Danio rerio: one gene and its partners. The main gene of each other region encodes a partner of the protein of the gene in region 2 in a complex. Links are inferred from orthologs where the notes say so. Each region holds a gene or a part of one and is shown on either strand. Other genes may lie near its edges.

The links.
Region 1: dkc1 (region 2) and nhp2 share a complex: the UniProt entries of both Homo sapiens proteins name them as parts of the H/ACA small nucleolar ribonucleoprotein (H/ACA snoRNP) complex. The link is inferred for Danio rerio from reciprocal best matches to the Homo sapiens genes DKC1 and NHP2.
Region 3: dkc1 (region 2) and wrap53 share a complex: the UniProt entries of both Homo sapiens proteins name them as parts of the telomerase holoenzyme complex. The link is inferred for Danio rerio from reciprocal best matches to the Homo sapiens genes DKC1 and WRAP53.

What each region holds. Positions count from the first base shown.
Region 1 is NC_133196.1:33,052,295-33,059,469, reverse strand, and holds the start of nhp2 (H/ACA ribonucleoprotein complex subunit 2-like protein), read left to right. Parts: upstream 1-3,018; 5' UTR 3,019-3,151; coding exon 3,152-3,302; intron 3,303-3,483; coding exon 3,484-3,553; intron 3,554-7,175. UniProt on the Homo sapiens protein: Required for ribosome biogenesis and telomere maintenance. Part of the H/ACA small nucleolar ribonucleoprotein (H/ACA snoRNP) complex, which catalyzes pseudouridylation of rRNA.
Region 2 is NC_133196.1:47,459,652-47,465,227, forward strand, and holds part of dkc1 (H/ACA ribonucleoprotein complex subunit DKC1), read left to right. Parts: intron 1-2,056; exon of another isoform or gene 2,057-2,430; coding exon 2,431-2,534; exon of another isoform or gene 2,535-4,138; intron 4,139-4,322; exon of another isoform or gene 4,323-4,621; coding exon 4,622-4,661; exon of another isoform or gene 4,662-4,753; coding exon 4,754-4,921; intron 4,922-5,009; coding exon 5,010-5,078; 3' UTR 5,079-5,576.
Region 3 is NC_133182.1:20,882,931-20,889,970, forward strand, and holds the start of wrap53 (telomerase Cajal body protein 1), read left to right. Parts: upstream 1-2,254; 5' UTR 2,255-2,461; intron 2,462-4,182; 5' UTR 4,183-4,217; coding exon 4,218-4,455; intron 4,456-7,040. UniProt on the Homo sapiens protein: RNA chaperone that plays a key role in telomere maintenance and RNA localization to Cajal bodies. Specifically recognizes and binds the Cajal body box (CAB box) present in both small Cajal body RNAs (scaRNAs) and telomerase RNA template component (TERC).

The DNA of each region.
Region 1 (7,175 bases), about 14 Mb from region 2:
CCTCAAAAAAACACATGAAAATGATACATTCTATATTCTGCAATGGAACTGTTGCGAATGATTATCGATGCTGAAACGATATATTGTGCAGCCCTAATCTTTAATCTGTGGGGGTATTGATTTATCTAATTTGGCATGAATCTAAATTTGCTTGCTTGACATTTATAATAAGTAGTACAGCATTTGTTTATAAATGCTTGATATTTTCTATATTTACAATTGCTATATTTATACGATTTGTACCAGATAATAAGCAAATCAGAATTATCTGCTTGTTTAATGTGACGTCACATGAAGTGGCTTCCAGGTCCAATTGCTCTATTAGACTGAATGAGGAGACTCAACAAATGGCAAGGATAAGCATAATGTTTGATAATGTTTGCAAAGTGATGTCATGCTTTCAAAAATCACAATTGCAATATTTAGTTCCATGCCTAATATCAAATGGCTAGAAAGTGATTCATTTTTTTATAAATTGTTCAAATATTGGTGACTGTGATGCAGCAAGTCCAGAGATTGTTGCATATAAAAATCATTTTAATGTGTGATATGACTTAAAATTGGGCACAAATTAACATTTTCTCCTTTCAAATGACTAGCGGCCTGGACCCGGAAACAGTATTTTATACGTCACGACTTAACAAGTGAATATTGGCCTTCACTTTTAACATTGTATCTAAATGTTTAATTGTTGTTTCTAATTTAGTTTTTGTCAATTGTTAATTAACTGTGCTTTTCACAGGAGCGATACAAGCGAGCCGTTGCAGACTCAGACAATGTTAGAAGAAGAACACAGAAATTTGTCGAGGACGCCAAACTTTTTGGTATAACTAACTATACACTTAATGCACGCATACCTTGGTGTCTCGTAAATCTCTCAGTCCCACATTAAGCATAATTGTCCTCCTGCAGGGATTCAGAGTTTCTGCCGTGACCTGGTAGAAGTGGCAGACCTTCTGGAGAAGAACTTAACAGTTGAGGAGAGCGATGGAGCACAGCAGCTGGCACAAAACCTGGCACACATTCAGGAGCGGCTGCAGGACATCTTCACCAAGCACGGACTGGAGAAGATGACCCCTGTGGGAACCACATATGACCCCTATCAGCACGAAATCGTCTGCCATACTCCAGCCGAGGGCGCGGAGCCTGGAACCATCGCCATGGTCAAGCAAGACGGTTACATGCTGCACGGACGCACCATTCGCCATGCCCTCGTGGGTATCGCTGTCAAGACTCAAGAGCGGTGACAGGACTTTGGTTCACTTCTTGTCCCGCTAATGCTTTTGTACATTCATAGTTTGTACGATGCTATTGTTCTTACATCTCTAGACGACTACATGTTTGACTTACTCTTTGAAGTAATGGTTATTTATATGTATTTATAAATGTTTTGTTGTTGTAAGCTTCTACACCAGTTTTTGTTTTGAACCCCTGATTTACACAATGTCCAGTGCCCATTTAATGTCTGGAAAGGTTGTCTTTTTGTGTGTTGCAGTGTTAAATTGACCCGGGAAATGCACTTTACGCCTTTATTATAGTGGATTCCGTATGTGATACTAGTTTAGAGGGAAAAGCAGCATATGAGATTGGTGAGAATATTAGTAACACTACAGTTTGATGATGTGTGTTTAACAACAGTTGAGGATTTGGTTATGAATTAACAATGAACAATCATGTTTAAGGCGTTTATTCATCATGGTAATGTTTAGTAGATGTATATCTAATTAGTTCATTGTCCATGATATTAGTAAATGCTGTAAACCTTTAGCAAACGTTTAGTTCATGGTCACTAATTTTAATGCATATAGCATTATTGTAACCTTTCCAGAAAGTTGTTGAATGTGTAAAGTGTTGAAGGCCACCAGTATCCAAAACAAAAGACAAACGTTTTCTCTTTTGGATGGGAGAAATGCACATTATATATAGATATGCATCCAAAGTGCAAATGAGCTTCGTGCTATTTGGGAGATAAAGTGAACATAAAAAATATTTATGTATTTATTCTGTTTGAAATAGTTTGCCCTGATAGTTTACATATTTTTTGTAGCTTAGAAGAAGAACTGAAACTGTAATCTATTTACATTTTCATTTAAGCTGAGTTTTTACTCATGCAATTTTTTTTTGTAAATGATGGAAACTCTTTAGTTTTGAGTGGATGTGTGAGGCTGATGACTGAATAAAAGTCTTTTCTTTTCGTTTGTTCATTTTGTGCACTAGGGGTCAGTGTTTTTAAAACAACTCAAAAACACGACATTCTAGATGTAGATACATAGATGCCTCTTTTAGATTCTGCCATGTAACGAGCAAAATATTCGAGAAGTTGACTGTAAAAACAAGCAAGTGTGAATATATCTACAATAGATTTTAATGTATTTTTAGCAACACGAATGCATTAGTTGATGTGTATAATAAAAAGTAATCTTTCACAATAACATATACATTCTTGAAAAGTAAACACGTTTAACTAATTTTTCCAAATGACTTTAGATTGTAAAATGATTTCCCCACAATACTGCTGATAAAACCATGAATTAAGATGCCATTATAAAATACCTACATTTCCCCCTCTAAATGTCCAGTTTCTTTATAAATTAAAATCGAAGTGGTAAGTGCAAGCTAAATTTACCGTTGGCGGACGGAGTCTGGAGCGGTTTCTAGCTCAGATACGGTTGCGGCCGGAAATTAACAGTAATCATTTATATTGTTTATTAAGTTTCCTATTTATTGTATTTTATTAGCGTCTGCCCCAACCCTAAAGCCAGCTTATACAGTGATGTAAAAACGGCCGTTTTGCCGCACTTATTTATTATAAATAAATAAATGGTATTTCATTAACGTCTGCCCCTAAACTCAACCGTCACAATACTGTAAAAATATTATTGTTATACAGTGTTATACAATATATTAAAAATATATTACTAATAAAATATTATTGTTATACAAAAATGATCCGCAGCTGTATCTAGACTTCACCGTCGAGAGCGGCATCTATGTATTATTCGACTCTATGGAGGAAATACTGCAGTGTTCGAAAAACACCGGAAATACGTTTATAGTCACCGCACGTGTGTTGTGCCTTGCATCCTGTGCCTGCAACACTATCAGCCTTAAGTTAATCGCTAAAGTATATTTGTGTACATTTTAACAAAAGATGACAAAGGTAAAGAAGGAGAAAGCCGGGGAAGAAGAAACCGGAGGGACGGAAAAATCATATCAAGAGTTGATAGCTAATATTAACCCAATCGCAAACCCGCTAGCATCGCGAAAACTTAGCAAAAAGCTCTACAAATGCGTCAAGAAAGGTAAACACGTGTTCAGAACTTGTTTTTAACATTCATAAAGAGTAACGTTATTGCCTGCGAGTGTGAATGAAAGTATACTAAATATCGCTGTCTGTAGGTTTAATATGTTGCAGACACGTGGTTGCAGTCATTTGTTCATTGGTTATGAGTGTTATTCATTATTATATTTATATTTTCTTAGCGGCTAAAGTTAAACAGATCCGACGAGGAGTCAAAGAAGTACAGAAGTTTATCAACAAAGGAGAGACTGGGTAAGATTAAGGTTTTTTCAGGTATTTGTTAAGCCCATTGGTTGATCAGTCCAGGGTTTAACCCATATTAGCCTTTTAAAAAGTTCATTCTAGTTTCAAATTGACTACACTACTAGACAAAGAATAATACTAATTTTTAATTTAACACGAAGAAATGCACAAAATTCACAAAACTATTTGAGCTCATGATGTTGTATTTGGTTCAGTTTGTACGCAGTATGATCATCTTAAAGGGATGGTTCAACCAAAAGTTATTTTATATTTTCATAATTTACTCACTTTTTATTTTGTTCCAAACCAGTTTAACTTAATTTTTTCGGTTGAACAAATATATTTTGACTTCCATTGCATTTGTTTTTCTTACTATGGTAGTCAATGTTTTCAGCTTGTTACAAAATATCTTTTGTGTTCAACAGAAGGAATAAACTTGAGGGAGAATAAAGAGTCTGTTATTATTTTTTTTCCCTGTGATTTATCCCTTTATAGTGTAAATATATCTTTAACTTATGGTTATAGTATATGAAAGCTATATTAGTTTTAGAAAACTAGCAGTATATTTTATTTAAATTATTTAAAAAATATCCTTGAATCTGTTGAAACTTTAGACCATTTTGAGGGACGTAAACAATAACAATGGTCCCAATTAGGCATGGGTGGTTTAGAATTCTGATGCTATGATAACCTTAGATCAGTGGTTCTCAAACTGTGGTACGTGTACCACTAGTGGTACGCAGGCCTTCTTCTAGTGGTACGCGGATGAATCAAATATGTAATATGTACATGCTACATATATTTAAAGAAATTATCAAAAATGATTTATATACGAATATGATGACATGAAGCCTATATTTATGAGGTCTAGGCAACTTTTCCAGGTGCTAACAAACCAGGAGTTATTTCTTTTTTTAAACTGTACAGAGCTTAAGCTGCTTTACTAGACCTAATACGCTACTGTATTTCAAAACTGCTCATTATGGTGGTACTTGCAAAGACAATTTTTTTCCGAGGTGGTACTTGATGAAAAACGTTTGAGAACCACTGCCTTAGATAGAAATATCACAGTTTTGTGATCACAACTCTAAAATATTTTCTTTTAAATGTCTAAAAAAAAAAAAACACGTTCTTCTGCTGCCTTCAAAAACACAAATTTCTCTACAATTTAAAACGACATATTTGGATATCTACTCTGCTGAAGATGTTGGCCTAAAAAAGCGTAAATAAAAAATCTTACACATACCTTAGGAATGAAATACATGAAAATTTTGAATGTTTTAAAACCTGGACTTTTTCCAAACCGCGGTAAACCTTGAAAACAGTTGTCATCCCATGCCTAGTCCCAATGTATTTTCTGTTTGACATGTTTTCATTTCTATAGCTTCTGAGAATCCAAAAAGGTCAACATATTGATAAACAATGTTATAGTAGCTGTTTTAGCATTGAGTTATAGTTAAATTCCCTCTTTTAACAGTTATGATAGTCTACACATGAATCATTTCTGCATGAAGAAATTACTTCAGTATTTTGTTTGTAAAATGTAATATCGTTTAATTAAGAAATTGTTACCATTTATATAGATTATATGCACTTATAAATTTAATTATATTATGTATTTAAAAATATTTTCAACTATGAAATTTAATAATAGCTTTCGTCTTTGTGAATTTTTATATTTGAAAAATTTTCTCAAGTTTTATGTATTAAAATGGGTAAGTGTGTTAACATGGAACTTGTATGGTAACATTCAAATTGTTTTGATTTTTTTGTCATTGATCAAAGTTTGCTGATCAGACACAATATGGCTTCAGTCAGACAAAAAGTTATTATGAGTTATGACTTGAGATCAAGCAGGCCTGAAATCTGAAAATCAAGTCAGAGTTATTAGCCGCCCCTTATATTATATATTAGATATTTATTTATTTATTTATTTATTTATTATCCTGTCTAAATGATGTTTAACAGAGTAGAAAATTTTCACAGTATGTCTGATAATGTTATTTCTTCTAGAGAAAGTCTTATTTGTTTTATTTCGGCTAGAATAAAAGCAGTTTTTAATTTTTCAAACACCATTTTAATGACAAAATTATTAGCCCGTTTAAGCTATATATTTTTTCGATATTCTACATAACAAACCAGGGTTCATACAGTCATAGAAACCCTGAAAAGTCATAGAATTTTGACATGGCATTTTCCAGGCCTGGAAAAGTTTTGGAAAACCAGAAAAACCCACAAAGTTTTGGAAGAATCATAGAAAGTAGTTTAACAAATATCTGTATACTTGAATTAGGGCTGCGCGATATTGAAAAAATCTGACATTACCATATTTTGTGTTTCTGTGATATATATTGCCATATAAATACAATTTTGCCAGATGATTTTACAGGTTTATTTGGATTGACCGGGGGGAATCTTGAATAATATATAACAAATTAATTTCATGCATAGATAAATAAAATATAATAAAGATAAAAGCTAATGATAGTTTTCAGGTATTCACTATTCATGTACAGATATTGAATAATAAACACTGCATAGTCTTTATTGCATATTATTTAATCTTTAATAAAGTTACAAAGCATTTCTTGTGAAAATTGTCATTTTTGGGTGAACTATCTCTTTAAAGATGCGTGCAGATGATAAACTTCTACTCCATTATAATTAAACTATAATTCCAACATTGCATATGCTGGGATGTGACTATTGTGGATGCACACACTGCGATATCGATTACATTCCTAAAACGATATATTGTGCAGCCCTAACTTCAATATTGGTTAGTTGTCTTACTTTCTGTCCTTGGCCAAAAACTTGCTCACATAAAAATAAATTTAAACAAAATAGATTGTTGCGTGTTTTATGATATGCTGTAATAAATTTGAACGTCATTGATTTTCTTATTATTTACCATGTATATGTAGACATTACATGAAACATTACGTCATGAAAATGTACTTGAAAGTTCTGGAAAAGTCTAAATAAAATATTGTTTACTGTCATCATGGCAAATATGAAATAAATCGGTTGTTAGAAAGGAGTAATGAAAACTATGAGGATTAGAAATGTATTGAAAAAATCTCTCCGTTAAACAGAAATGGGGGTGGGGGGAGGTAAACGGGGGCGAATAATTATGACTAACTGTTTGCGTTATGTATGCTTTATCAGGATTAAAAAATATTTTTTATGAATTGAACTTAATCATTTAATTGTTAAAATATAAGTTACAATAGTTTATTATTTTAAATGTAATACAAGTGTTTTTTTAATGTTTGTATTTAGTGCTGTCAAAATTAGTGTAATGCATGCAATTAATTTAAAATAATTAACGCATTGCAGGGTTTTTTTATTTCCTGTTGTGGTCGACGTGTGTATAACATGCAAAGAAATATGGATAAGAAGACCAAGGAAGCACTTTTTGAAGGAAAGTTTCAGTATAAAACAATTAATGTCACTTTTAACTTTCGACTTCTGTTTTAATAGAATTTGATACCGCATGGTGAATGGAAAGAAAAGCCTCTGCATTTCGTGACTCGGTGGTCCTTTATTGTAATCAAAAATCGCTGCTTACTTGGTCGACTCTTAATAAGAGTATTATCTTAATCATATTAAAATCTGAGTATTCATTCAT
Region 2 (5,576 bases):
TAAGATATTTAGATTTTTTTTAGTTTCTTCTGTGAGTAAATTAACAATTCGCAGCCAAAATGTGTAAGTGGAATTTAAAAATGCTTGTACGCTCATAAAAAGAGCTGCTAAAAGGAAGTCATTTTGGTTTATTAATGCAAATGAAGTTAAATCCAATCTCTCGGCAGTATAAAGTCACAGTTTTATCTAAAACAACAATTGTGTGTTCATGGGTCGGTATAAGATTCTGACAGTATCATAACCTTGGACAAAAATATCACAATATTGTTATTACTGCTCTAAAATATAATCTTTAAAAAAAAAAACAACAACATTTTTTTTCCCCCTTTTAAAAACAATATATATTTAAAAAAAAATTAAATTTAAAATATTCTGTAGCAGTAAACGTGTCAAATAATGAAAATGAATTATTGACTTGTGCTCTTTTCATTAGTTTCTAAAACACCGATTTCTTTACAATTTGAAACGGCATCTTTGAATATCTTTTCTGCTGGAGATACTGTTGTCCTAAAAACTAAAAGTAAATTAAAAAAATATATATTTTGGCTGTTTTAAAAACCTTTTTTTTTCCCAAACCATGGTATCCCTTCAAAACGGTTATCGTCCCATGCCTAGTTAATGGCAGAACCTATTGTATTTTCAGACCCGTAGCCAAGCAGAGGGGTATGTGGTTCAAAAGATCCACCCCCCCACTGACAAAGTCCATAATTTGGCCCCTTAATGAGCTCATTTGTCTCGATTTTGACAGTATGCCATAATAAATTGTGAAAATAATCGATAGAAGTAGGTTTTAAGGGTGCTTTCACACCTCCACTTTTGTTTGGGAACCTGTCTCATTTGCCCAGTTAGTGCTGTTCGTTTGGCATATGTGAAACCAGCAATCATGCTAGGATCTGTGCCAAATCAATCGCTCCGAAATCGTTTGAATGAGGTGGTCTCGGCTCGATTAAAACTTAACTTTGGAGCGGATCCATTGCAGTGAGAAAGCGATACGATCCGAGCGCGGTTATATCACTGTGTTTTATGGATATGTAATAGGCATACGGCGATATGAAGAGAGAATTATAGGGCGGGAAATTTCGCGAGTTTCCAGATGCCCGCAAACGTGTGATAATCTCCTGGTAATCTTGCGTCTTCCTCCCGGTCCTCAAATGGGCTACGTCGTGCATCATTCTCACCCCTCCCCACCCCGTCTCTCCTCACTCTACAGATGGACGCACCTTGTTAAACACCACCAAACCACCACCTCTCCTGACAGCTGACCGAGACTCTGCAAAATTAACCCTGACACTGACCAATGTGAGGAGAGTTTACTCACACGTGACTTGTTTTAGCTCTTTTGGTCCGTTTAGAAACTTTGCTGTGTGAAAGCGAACCGCGCCAAGAATAAAGAGCAACAATGTAACAATAGTAATCTCTATTTCGGAACAACTGAATCGATTCACAGGTGTGAAAGCAGCCTAAGATAGATAAAATTACATTTAAATGGACAAATTCTGACTTGCTGACCTGTTTATTTACCTATAGGGTAGTTTTTGAATTAAAACATGTTTTAACAGATTCCTAATTAGTTTTTTCATGATGAATAATACATTTAGTGTTTCATATTTCTTAATTTTAAAATGTTTAATTTTAAAAATCTAATTATTTTATTTTTCAAATGCACATTTGTAAAACACTTCATGGTTAAATAGTAGTATGGTGAGCACTTTGTAGGAAATATTTTTGTTGCACTAAAGTTTGATTATAATAATCAATCAACAAGCTAATCCAGAAAAGGTTAGTGCTTTAAAGCAGTGTTTGAAATTCATAATTTAATAGAAAATGAGGTGAATAACTGCAAAAAGGTCTTTATTTATTTTGAGAAAAGAACCACCCCTTTTAATAGTCTGCCGTATAGTTCAAATCCTAAGCACAGTGTGGTGTGTGATTAATTTAAATGTTACTGCTGGAAAGTCATTTTATTGGCTCCCTGTGTCTTGTTGTGGGAGTTTTTCTTAAGTCGGATATATCAAGTTAATGCTGAATCATTTTCTGCTTTTAGGACCCTCATAAATCCCTTTTTTTTTTTTTTTTTTTTTTTTTTTTTTTTTTTTTTTTTTTAACAAATTTAGTTTGGCTTCAGATGCCTCCTGCCTATTTTAAGTGAGTACGTAAAAATATGAAAGTTTGAGTCTGGAGATACGAAAGAGACAGCCTATTGAAATACAATAGCTTAAATGTCTTTGTGGTCTCTAAACTAAAGCATATTAGCAGTACAGCATAATATACAATGGCAATCCAAAATTATTTAAATGTTCCTGCTGCCTAAAATCCAGAATTGGTGCGTGTTTAAACAGGCTAGCCAGCTAATCCATCTTCATGGTACACGCCCCAGAGTAAATGTTAATAATGATGTACTATTTAAATGTGGCAACTCCTGCATTTCAGGCCAGCCAGAAGAAAATGATGATCCAAAAGGGACTTCTAGACAAACATGGCAAACCAAACAACAGCACACCTTCAGACTGGAAAGAGGGCTATGTAGACTACAGGTATGCATGTTTCCGTGTTCGCACACATTCCTGCAGACTGTTATCCCTTTTTGTTCTGCTGTGAGCCTAGAGGGAGTCTGTCTGCTAAAGCAAAACCCTGAGCTCAGGCTAATGCTGTCTGCACGATGTGTGCACGATGGACACCTGAGCTCTGTGGACATCTGCATAACTCTTCCTGATCCTGATCTTTCTTTTAATGATCACTTGTGCAGGTTTACACTGACTGCATTAATGCAGGCTAAACGTGTAGCAACACAAAATGCCTTTAATAATCTTAAGAAAGCATTTTGGTGCCTTCACAACTTCTGTCGTCATTATATTTTACACGAAAGCCAAAATGTTTTTATGTAAGATCTATATAGAGGCGATCTCTTATTCGTTATTAATCATGCCTTTTAAACTGTGGGTTGTGATCTTAGCACCCCTAGATATTAGTAAGAGTATTGTTCGTTGTATAGGATATCTATAAGCTAGTGTGCTCAAACAGTAGATGTTTATATCAGGGTCCCCGCGGGGTCTTAAAGTATTAAATCTTAAATTAAAAAAATTGACATTTATGGCTTTAAAAAATCTTAAATTTGTTGTTCTTGGTCTTAAATATTTTTGCACAGGTCATATTTTTGCGATGTCCATGTAACGCTACATCTAATGCTCATTTAAATTCTTGTTGTTGTTGCTTGGTTTTTGGGGTTGTTGTAGTTTTATGACTATTATTACTTTATTTTACTAGTCCAATTGTAATTTTCTGTTTTACAACTGCAAAAAAGTCAACTTGCAATAGCCAATCAGCTTTCTGATATTAAACTCAAATGTAACATCATCGCTGTGTTTGCGGAAGTTCACTTTGAGTGCGCGCGACATGATTTCGGCTGGCAGAGTATGCCGTTATTTCACTGACAAATGTCGCAAGTGCAGTTTTATAAGTCGAGAGCGCTGAATAACGAGAGAGTGAATCTCTGCTCACGCGCCGGTTTCCTTTGTTCATGGACAAAACTGCTTGCGAGCTCTCAAAACACTGGCTGCTCACGTGCAAATGATCTGCTCTCGCTCCGTCGGACTCCTTTCGTGCTTTTCCAGAGAAGCTTCAGCATACTGTAGTAGTAAGAATAGTGAACTGATAAAATGAAATACAGTTTAGTTTTACTACATGTAAGTGTGTTGAATTGTTGAAAAATATACCCCATATTGTAAAAAAAAAAAAACTAAAGCACTGGGTAGTTTGTTTTTAATACAATTTGTTACCATAGCAACCATAGTATTACCACAACAGAGTAATTGAAGTACTTTACAAAACACTGTACAGCAGACACTAGTTCACTTTATTTTAGTGATAAAATGGGATTGATAGTGGGATTTATTTAAAGAGTGAATAGTACAGTATAATACAGCTATAATACCTTATCTAATTTTTACCCATTTTCTATCACAGCTACATTTCTGCTTGCCAGAATGACCAATATTTATTGGCTAGAAATTGCAACAGCCATGGGAAAGGAGGAAAGTTTTTGTAAAACTTTGGAAAAACTCTGAGGGATGAGTTTGTTAAAACAAAAAAAGAGGCCCCCAAACACATCTTCAATGATAATGATTATCATTTTATTTGTCTGATTTTACTTTGTTTTTTTGGAGCGCCCCCTGTCATTTAAAAAAAAATATCTCAATGGTGAACGTGTCAAGTATAAAAGCCTTAATCCGTTTCGTGAGTTGTGCGGTGCCAGGTGAAAGTATAAATCTGCATTAAGATGTTTGTGTTTCTGTAGTTCAATGGTGCATTTAACCTGACTTCACTACTGTTCAATTTAAATAACTTTATTTTACCCCTAATTTTGTGCTTTTACATTTTCTTTCTGGTGTTTTTGATATTTCGATATAGCTCTTAAATTTAATACTTAATGGTCTTAAAAGGTGTTAAATTTGACATTGTTATCTGCAGAGACCCTGTATATCAGCTTTGTCTACTAAATGTGAATTTTCCAAAGCTCAATTTGTCTCCTAAATGGATTAACAATTGACTATTTTATTTACTCTTATTACTTGCATCGCTACTATGAAATGTTAATTCATTCATTTTTTTTTTCCTGTTGTAGCACAACGAAGGTGAAAAAGGGTGGTGAAGCTTCTGCAAAGGTAAACCTGACTGCTGAAATGCATCAGTACTTTTAAATCCAATACTGATCGATATTGAATGTTTATTTTTTGTCCTTCAATGTTTGTTGTAGAGGAAACGAGACGAGAGTGGAAGTGAAGGCGAAGCTGCAGCTGCTGCTCAGGACACCTCAAAGACGGAGGAAGAAAGCAAGAAGGAAAAGAAGAAAAAGAAGAAAGAAAAGAAGCAGAAGTTGGCAGAGGAGGCAGCGGCCGAGGCTCCAGCGGAGGAAGAAACTGAGGTCAGCAAATAATATATCTGGACTCTTCAGCTTTATCCTGCTCTCACTGTAAAGATGAAACTGTAAATACGCATCTCTTTTCCCACAGGTTACAGAGAGCGCAAAGAAGAAGAAGAAAAAGAAAAAGGCCAAAGAGACTGAGGCAGACTCTGATTGAACACTCATACTGTAGAGGAGAGAATGTGGACTCTGCTAATGGACATTTATTCCTCCCTCCATTCATTCATCCGGTCAGTCATGTCTGCTGCAGTGTGATCGCGGACAGAACAGCGGCTCGATCAAGATCCATGAGTTTGAAGTTTGGTCTTTGGTTGCGGTTGTGATGCTACTTTGTTTTTCTTAAACGAGACCCGTGTTGTCTGGGTATATTCATGTATTTTGAATGGAGAATTTCCTTTTTTTTTATTGTAAATACAGAGATTGTAATCCTGTTATCAAATGAAACATGACTGACTTTTTACAAAAAACAAATGTTTGTCTTGCACTTGGGGTCTGCTTTTCACACTTGGCTTAAATTTATACAAGCTGATTTTAATCGTGATTTCTGGCCAATTTGGTTTCAACTAATTATAAACAAATCACAGACTACTATATCTCTTGGAAATCTTGGTCTGCAACCATGTACAGCAGCATTATTATGCAATATTCAATTAAA
Region 3 (7,040 bases), on a different chromosome or scaffold from region 2:
TTAAATTGGAAATGGCTCACTGTAAATCAGCACTGCATAATGAGAACTTGTCACATATCTTAGGTGGATGTCTTCTAAAATTTGCTGTATAAAAAGGTCACAAACCATTTGACGATAATGTTTGAATATTCCTGGTGTAAATAGTTTTTGGGGTTTCTGGTTTGTTTGAAGAAAAGTAATAAATACTTAAAGAATAAAGAACTTGTGTCGACTCACTGTTTGGTGGTTTACATAAAAACTAGTTGTCAGGGTTTTCATTTTTGTCTGCATAAAGTGACATACTTTGCCTGCGGGTAGTAACATGCTAGAAACAGGTTAGCAACATGCTAATCTAGTCAAAAACATGCTAGTATGTTATATATGCCAGAATGTTAACAACATGCTAATAATGTGATAATCATGCTAGAAACAGGCTAACAACGTCCTAATCATGTTAGAAGCATGCTAGCAATACACTATTCAAGCTAGAAACATACCCAGCATGCCAGAATGTTAACAACATGTTAGTAATGTGCAAATTATTTTAGAAACAGGTTAGCAACATGCTAATCATGTTAGAAACATGCTAGTAACATTTAATCATGTCAGAATGTTATAAACATGCAAGTAATGTGCTAATTATGCTAAAAATAGGCTAGCAACATGCTAATCATGTTATAAGCATGCTAATCATACCAGGATGTTAACAACATGCTAATAATGTGCTAATTATGCTAGAAACAGGCTAGCAACATGTTAATTATGTCAATGTTAACAACATGTTAGTAGGCTAATGTTCTGATCATGTTAGAAACAGGCTAGCAACATGCTTATCATACCAGGTTGTTAACAACATGCTAATAATGTTATTATTATGCTAAAAACATGCTAGCAACATTATCATGTTAAAACATATTAGTAGCATGTTAATAATGCTAAGATATTAACATACTAGAACTGTGCTAATCAAGCTAAAAAAAAGGTTAGCAACATGCTATTTGTGTTAGAAACATGCTTGTAACATGTTAATCATATCAATATGTTAACAACATGCTAATGTGGAAATCATGTTAGAAACTATGTGCTTATCATGTTAGAAACATAATAACATGCTAATTATGCCAGAATATTTACAATGTGCTAATCATGCTAGCAACATGCTAATCACGTTAGAAATAGTAAAGTTAATTATGCCAGAATGTTAACAACATGCTAATAATGTGCTAATCACGCTAGAAACAGGCTAGCAACATGCTAATCATGCCAGAATGTTATCAGCATGCTGATAATGTGCTAATCATGCTAGAAATAGGCTAGCAACATATTAATCATGTTAAAAGCATGCTAATGCAAAAATGTTAACAACATGCTAATTTTGTGCTAAACATGCTAGTAACACGGTAATCATGCCAGCAATGTGCTAGTAACCATAGCAGCTGTATCCTAACTGCATAGCTACCGCTATCATTTTGTCCCCGCAACCACTCCCTATCTTTTTTGAGATGTACACTTTTTTTTAAACCTCAAGCTTTTAAAACTATTCAGACTGGGTTTCTCAAAGCATTAATGTTTTCTTCTCTAATTAAATAATATTTATTTTTCCATGTGGAAAAAATAAAAAATAAATAACATTTAGAAACAATGATCAAAATATATTTATTTGACTAGAGATTCACAAATAATCTTATCTCCACACTGGCGTGCACAAATAACACACAAGCCTTTCTTTACTGTCAGTGTGTGAATAAAAAAAAATGCACAAGGATGTGAGTATATAATGTATAACAGTAACATTCATTTAAAATTATATATTTAGTAAATGCAATTAAACTGTCCACTTTAATGTTTTAAATAAAAAAATGTAAAATAGGGGTGGATTACGTTTATCATCTTTTAGTATGAGCGATAAAGATTATTAAGTGGTCCAAGCAACTTTTTTCTATATTTAGTGAGTAAAGTTTTCTATCAGTTGTCAAATCCAATGGTAATTTGAAGGATATCCGCAAATATAAAGTTTCAAAACGACACTTTAGCTTATTGAGGGCTGTTTTGGGAATATGCCTGGCGAGGTTTTGTCATAAAAGCTTTCATTACACTGAAATATTGATATTATTTCTGTTAAACAGTATGAAGACGTCTTTATTTTTGCTTATTGAAAAATACCAAACAAAACACAGTCTAATATATGACAAAATACATTAAAGCTTTTCGAAAGTGTACTAAAAATATTTCATAGTATGACGCAAATATCGCGAGAGTCACGTGACCTGGATAAGCTTACAGTGCAGGCATGGCGGCGCCCTGCGATTACAAACACGACGCGCGAGTTTTTGTTGACTGTTGGTTTAACATAGTGCATTTGTAGTCGAGATGCTCGGAAACTATTCTCTGAATTCAATAAAACACAAACACTGAGGACGACTGCGTGTTCTGTAAGAGCCAGAGCACAAGACACATCAGACACGAGTTAAAGAAACAACAGGTAGAGTGATGCCGCTGTTAAACACAACATATTTATAATTACGATTATGATAATTGTAATTTTAGTGATGCAGCCGCACCAAATTGTTAACTTAACACCTGACAGCATTTATACACATCTGCATATACACTAGAATACATGTCAGGACGGGACAGTGTCGTTATGTGTTCTAAAAAGGTTATCAAGCAGACAAAAATAGAACAACACGAGTAACTAGGTGACATTAAAAGAGTCCTAAAGTTGGTTTTATATTCGGACATTCGGACTTTCACCTTAATAGGAGGCCTATTTTCAGAAAAGCATTCTTTACAAACTCGAAATATGGACATCATATTAGCCTCCAAAGACTAAAGTACAAAATTGTTCAGAGTCAATTAAATAGTGTTTGCTATTTCTGAATGTGTGAATGTAAAACCAACTTTACCTCAATTTTAAGCCTCACAGTGCAGCCGCAAGATGCTGATTTGTTGCAATTTTAATTCGAAACTTTAGTCTTTAACTCATTTGTAAGCAGACGTTTTTAATCATTTAAAATACATTAAAATATCATAAGGTAATTTGTTCCATTGTATGTTTTAATAAGTACAAGTCAGAATAACTTTTTCTTTTTGTAAGAATGTCTGTATTATGCTGTATTATGCACTATTCCATCCATATTTTCATATTTCAGTTATCTAAACGTATATTGAAATAATATAAACACTTGCATTTAATATGCTTTCTGTTTATTTATGAAGAGTTCAGATGCACAAACCTCTAAGTGCTGTTTGACCTTTACTTCTAAACTGGACTTTTTCCCCCAGCTTCCTGTTTAGGTTCAGTAATTTCACTTTTATGGCAAATAAGTTGTTTTCATGTTTCATAGCTTTTAAAGTGAACTTATTGAACATAAACATGAATGGCTGAAAAAAGAATAATTTTAGAGTGCAATGTCAGAGTTTTTTTTTTTTTTTTTTTTTGCATACAGTGTATATATATTGAATGTATTATGTATAGGTGACCCAGGATCAAAAAATTATGACTGTCAAATTTTGGAATTGAGATGTATATCCTCTGAATAAACAAGCATTCCATCGATGTATGGCTTGTTTAGATATGACAATATTTGATTGAGATTCAACTGTTTGAATGTCTTGAAGCTTAGGGTGCATAAAATACAAATAGTGAGAAAATTGCCAGTTGTCCAGATTGAGTTCCCAGCCATGCATATTACTAATCAAATGATAGGTTTTGATATATTTACAGGAAAAAACTTGCTAAATATCTTCATGAAAGATGATTTACTTAATGATTTCTGACATAAATCGATAATTTTGACCTATACAATGTTTATTTGGCTATTGCAACAACATAAGGGGGAGGGGTTAGAGGTCATATTTAGTGAGAACTTCTATTGTATTCATTAAGGCATTACAAGTACATTTTTATAATGAAACATTTTTTATATATTACTTACTATTTAAATTCTATGCGTTTTTTTTCATTTCAAAGAAAGTATAAGCATTTTTGCTGAATTTTACAATAAAGAGTATACATTTATTTCTCATAATAAATGAGCAAAAATAGATTTACAGAAGTCTCGCATGTGTTTTTTAAGTTAGAAATGGGTAATGAAAATGTATAATCTCCAAGGACTTTTTTTATTTTTTCATTTTCAGACAATTTATGTGTGTACTGTATATAACTATAACTGAATTACCATGACTTGCTCATATTTTCAGAGGCCACTGCACACTTATTTATCAGTGAATACAGGATGTCCGGTGTTGCTCAGAGTGGTGAGGGTGCTGCAGGACAGGAAGCAGAGGCTGATGGAGAACCTCCCCATGAAGCACTTGTTCAAGGAGCACTGGAAGAAGAGGAGGAACCAGCAGCGAAACAGCCTCGACTCCAGCAGGAGGATGTGGCTCTTGATTTCCCTATGATAGAGATAGCCCATGAGCCTTCAGAGGAGAAGAGCAAAAGCCAAGATGCTGCTGGGGTTGAAGAGGAAGGTGAGGCCATTTAGTAAAAGCTACAGTACATTTAGGATTTAATGCATCCTGTTTGGCACTCTGTCAATACACACTTCTGATGTGAGAAATAAACTCCATATGTAAAGCTTCCGCTTCCATCTTTAAAGAATTACACGGATCTTGTCCTTTAGCTTTTCATATGCATTCAATTTTATAGATAAGTGTGTAAGTGAACTTTAGGGTCCTTCTGAAATTTGAATGTGATGTTTTTTTTTTTTTTTTTTGAGCTGCAAGGAAATGAAGTGTTTTTTGTTTTTTTTCATGGTGCCACAAAATATATAAAATATAGTTTAATGCTTGATCCCAGGATGTGTTTGCTTGCTTGGAAATGAAAAAGCAGATAAATTTAACTGAATTACACCTACAGGAAGAATTAAGAAGTTCAAAATCTCACTTTACATTCTAAATAAAGGTAAGCAGAATGGGATTAGTGATCAAATAATACACTTTTTGGAATCTTTGGAATCAAAAATCTTTATATATATATATATATATATATACACACACACACACACACACACACAATATGCCTTTTAGACAAGCTAGACTTATTTATGGACATTTACTCAAGAGAAATTGCTTTAAAATGCCAGTATTGGAATAAAATCCTAAATGTAAAAAGCATACTCTTAATGTTATGTGGAAGTGGTTTTAATCTATAGAGACTTTGGAATTATTCAATGAGAGTATATGTGAATTCTTCAAAAATTTTAGAAATTATCCAAAAAAATCTTTAAAAGAAATTAATCCTAATTTATTTATTATTGTATTGTTTAAAGAAACATTTTACTTATTTATTAATTATATTTTGGGCTTAGTCCCTTTACTAATCAGGGCTTGCCACGGTGAAATGAACTGCCAACTTCTCCAGCATATGTTTTACACTGCAGATGCCCTTCCAGCTGCAACCTATCACTGGAAAACCCAAACACACATACACTACGAACAATTTAGCTTACCCAATTCACCTGTACCACATGTCTTTGGGTTGTGGGGGAAACCAGAGCACCCGGAGGAAACCCACACTAACATGGGGAGAACATGCAAACTTAACACGGAAACGCCAACCAAGGCTCAAACCAGCGACCTTCTTGCTGTGAGGCGACAGCACTCATCGTGTTTATCATTCGTTCATTCATTTTCTTTTCAGCTTAGATCCTTTATTAAACAGCGGAATGAACCGCTAAATAATCCAGCATATGTTTTACACAGTGGATGCCCTTGCAGCTGCAACCCATCACTGGGAAACACCCATAAACACTCATTCACACACATACACTATGGACAATTTAGCTTACTCAATTCACCTATAGCGCTTATCTTTGGACTCTGGGGGAAATCGGAGCACCAGGAGGAAACTTACATCAACAAGGGGAGAACATGCAAACTCCACATAGAAACGCCAACTCACCCAGGCAAGGCATGAACCAGTGACCTTCTTTCTGTGAGGCATCAGCGCTCATCCTGTATATATGTTAACAAAATTATTTTGGTATTATTGCCTGATACTAACTGGAACATGCACCAAAACCCTAGCAAACATTACAGCAATTATACAGCACAATCAAAAATACAATACAAAAGATATCAGCCAGAATAATGGAATAAGAAACAAAATACTGCCAAAAATAGTTACAGAGACATTATTAACCTACATCTAAGGAAGGGGCCCCTATATTTTGTCATACATTTTCTGTTTGCCAGAGAATCTAGAGAAACATAACCTTTCCAGCTTAAAGGCAAAAATCATTTCAGCTTTTAAAAAAACTTGGAGGTGTCGTGGAATTTCACTCCATCAGAATCACTCTCTTGGCCTGCACCATGCCAAACATAAGGGAGAGTTGTTGGTGTTTAGGCCAAGTTAGAGCCTGGTCTGAACATCCATACAAAGCTAAATCCAAATAAATTTTAATGTCTATTTCCAAAGCCTGGGAATAAAGTCTGAAGATGCTTAATCTAGAGAGACTTTGAAGGAATTTTTCAATGAGAGTAAATGTGAATTCTTCAAAAGTTTTTGAAATGAAAGGAAATATTTAAAAAAAGAGAGATTTTCATATTATTTTATGCATTATTGCATTGTTTATAGAAAGATGTTACTTATAAACTGTAAATTTGATCATATTTTGCCTTCAAATATACATTGAAGCTGATAAGGCAATAAACTCTAAACTCTCTTTTCTCTCTCTCTCTCTCTCTCTCTCTCTCTCTCTCTCTCTCTCTCTCTCTCATTATTGTTCTATTACATATATTTATATTTTGGTTAAAAGGCGCTTTTCACCCAAAAATGAAACTTTTCTTGCTATTTTATCACATTTAGGGGTACTAAACTTTTAAACAAAGCAATATATTTTGTTGAATATTGGAAAAAAAACAGCCACTGACATCCATTTTAAGCCAATGGGAATTTTTTCCAACATTCTTCAGTATATCTTACTTTGTGTTCAACAGTAGAAAAGAAAATCATTGTTACAAGCAAAGGATAAATAAATAATAGCAGAATTGTCATTTTTGGGTAAACTCTCTTTAATATTTAACCACATTTACATACAAGAGTGAATTACCTA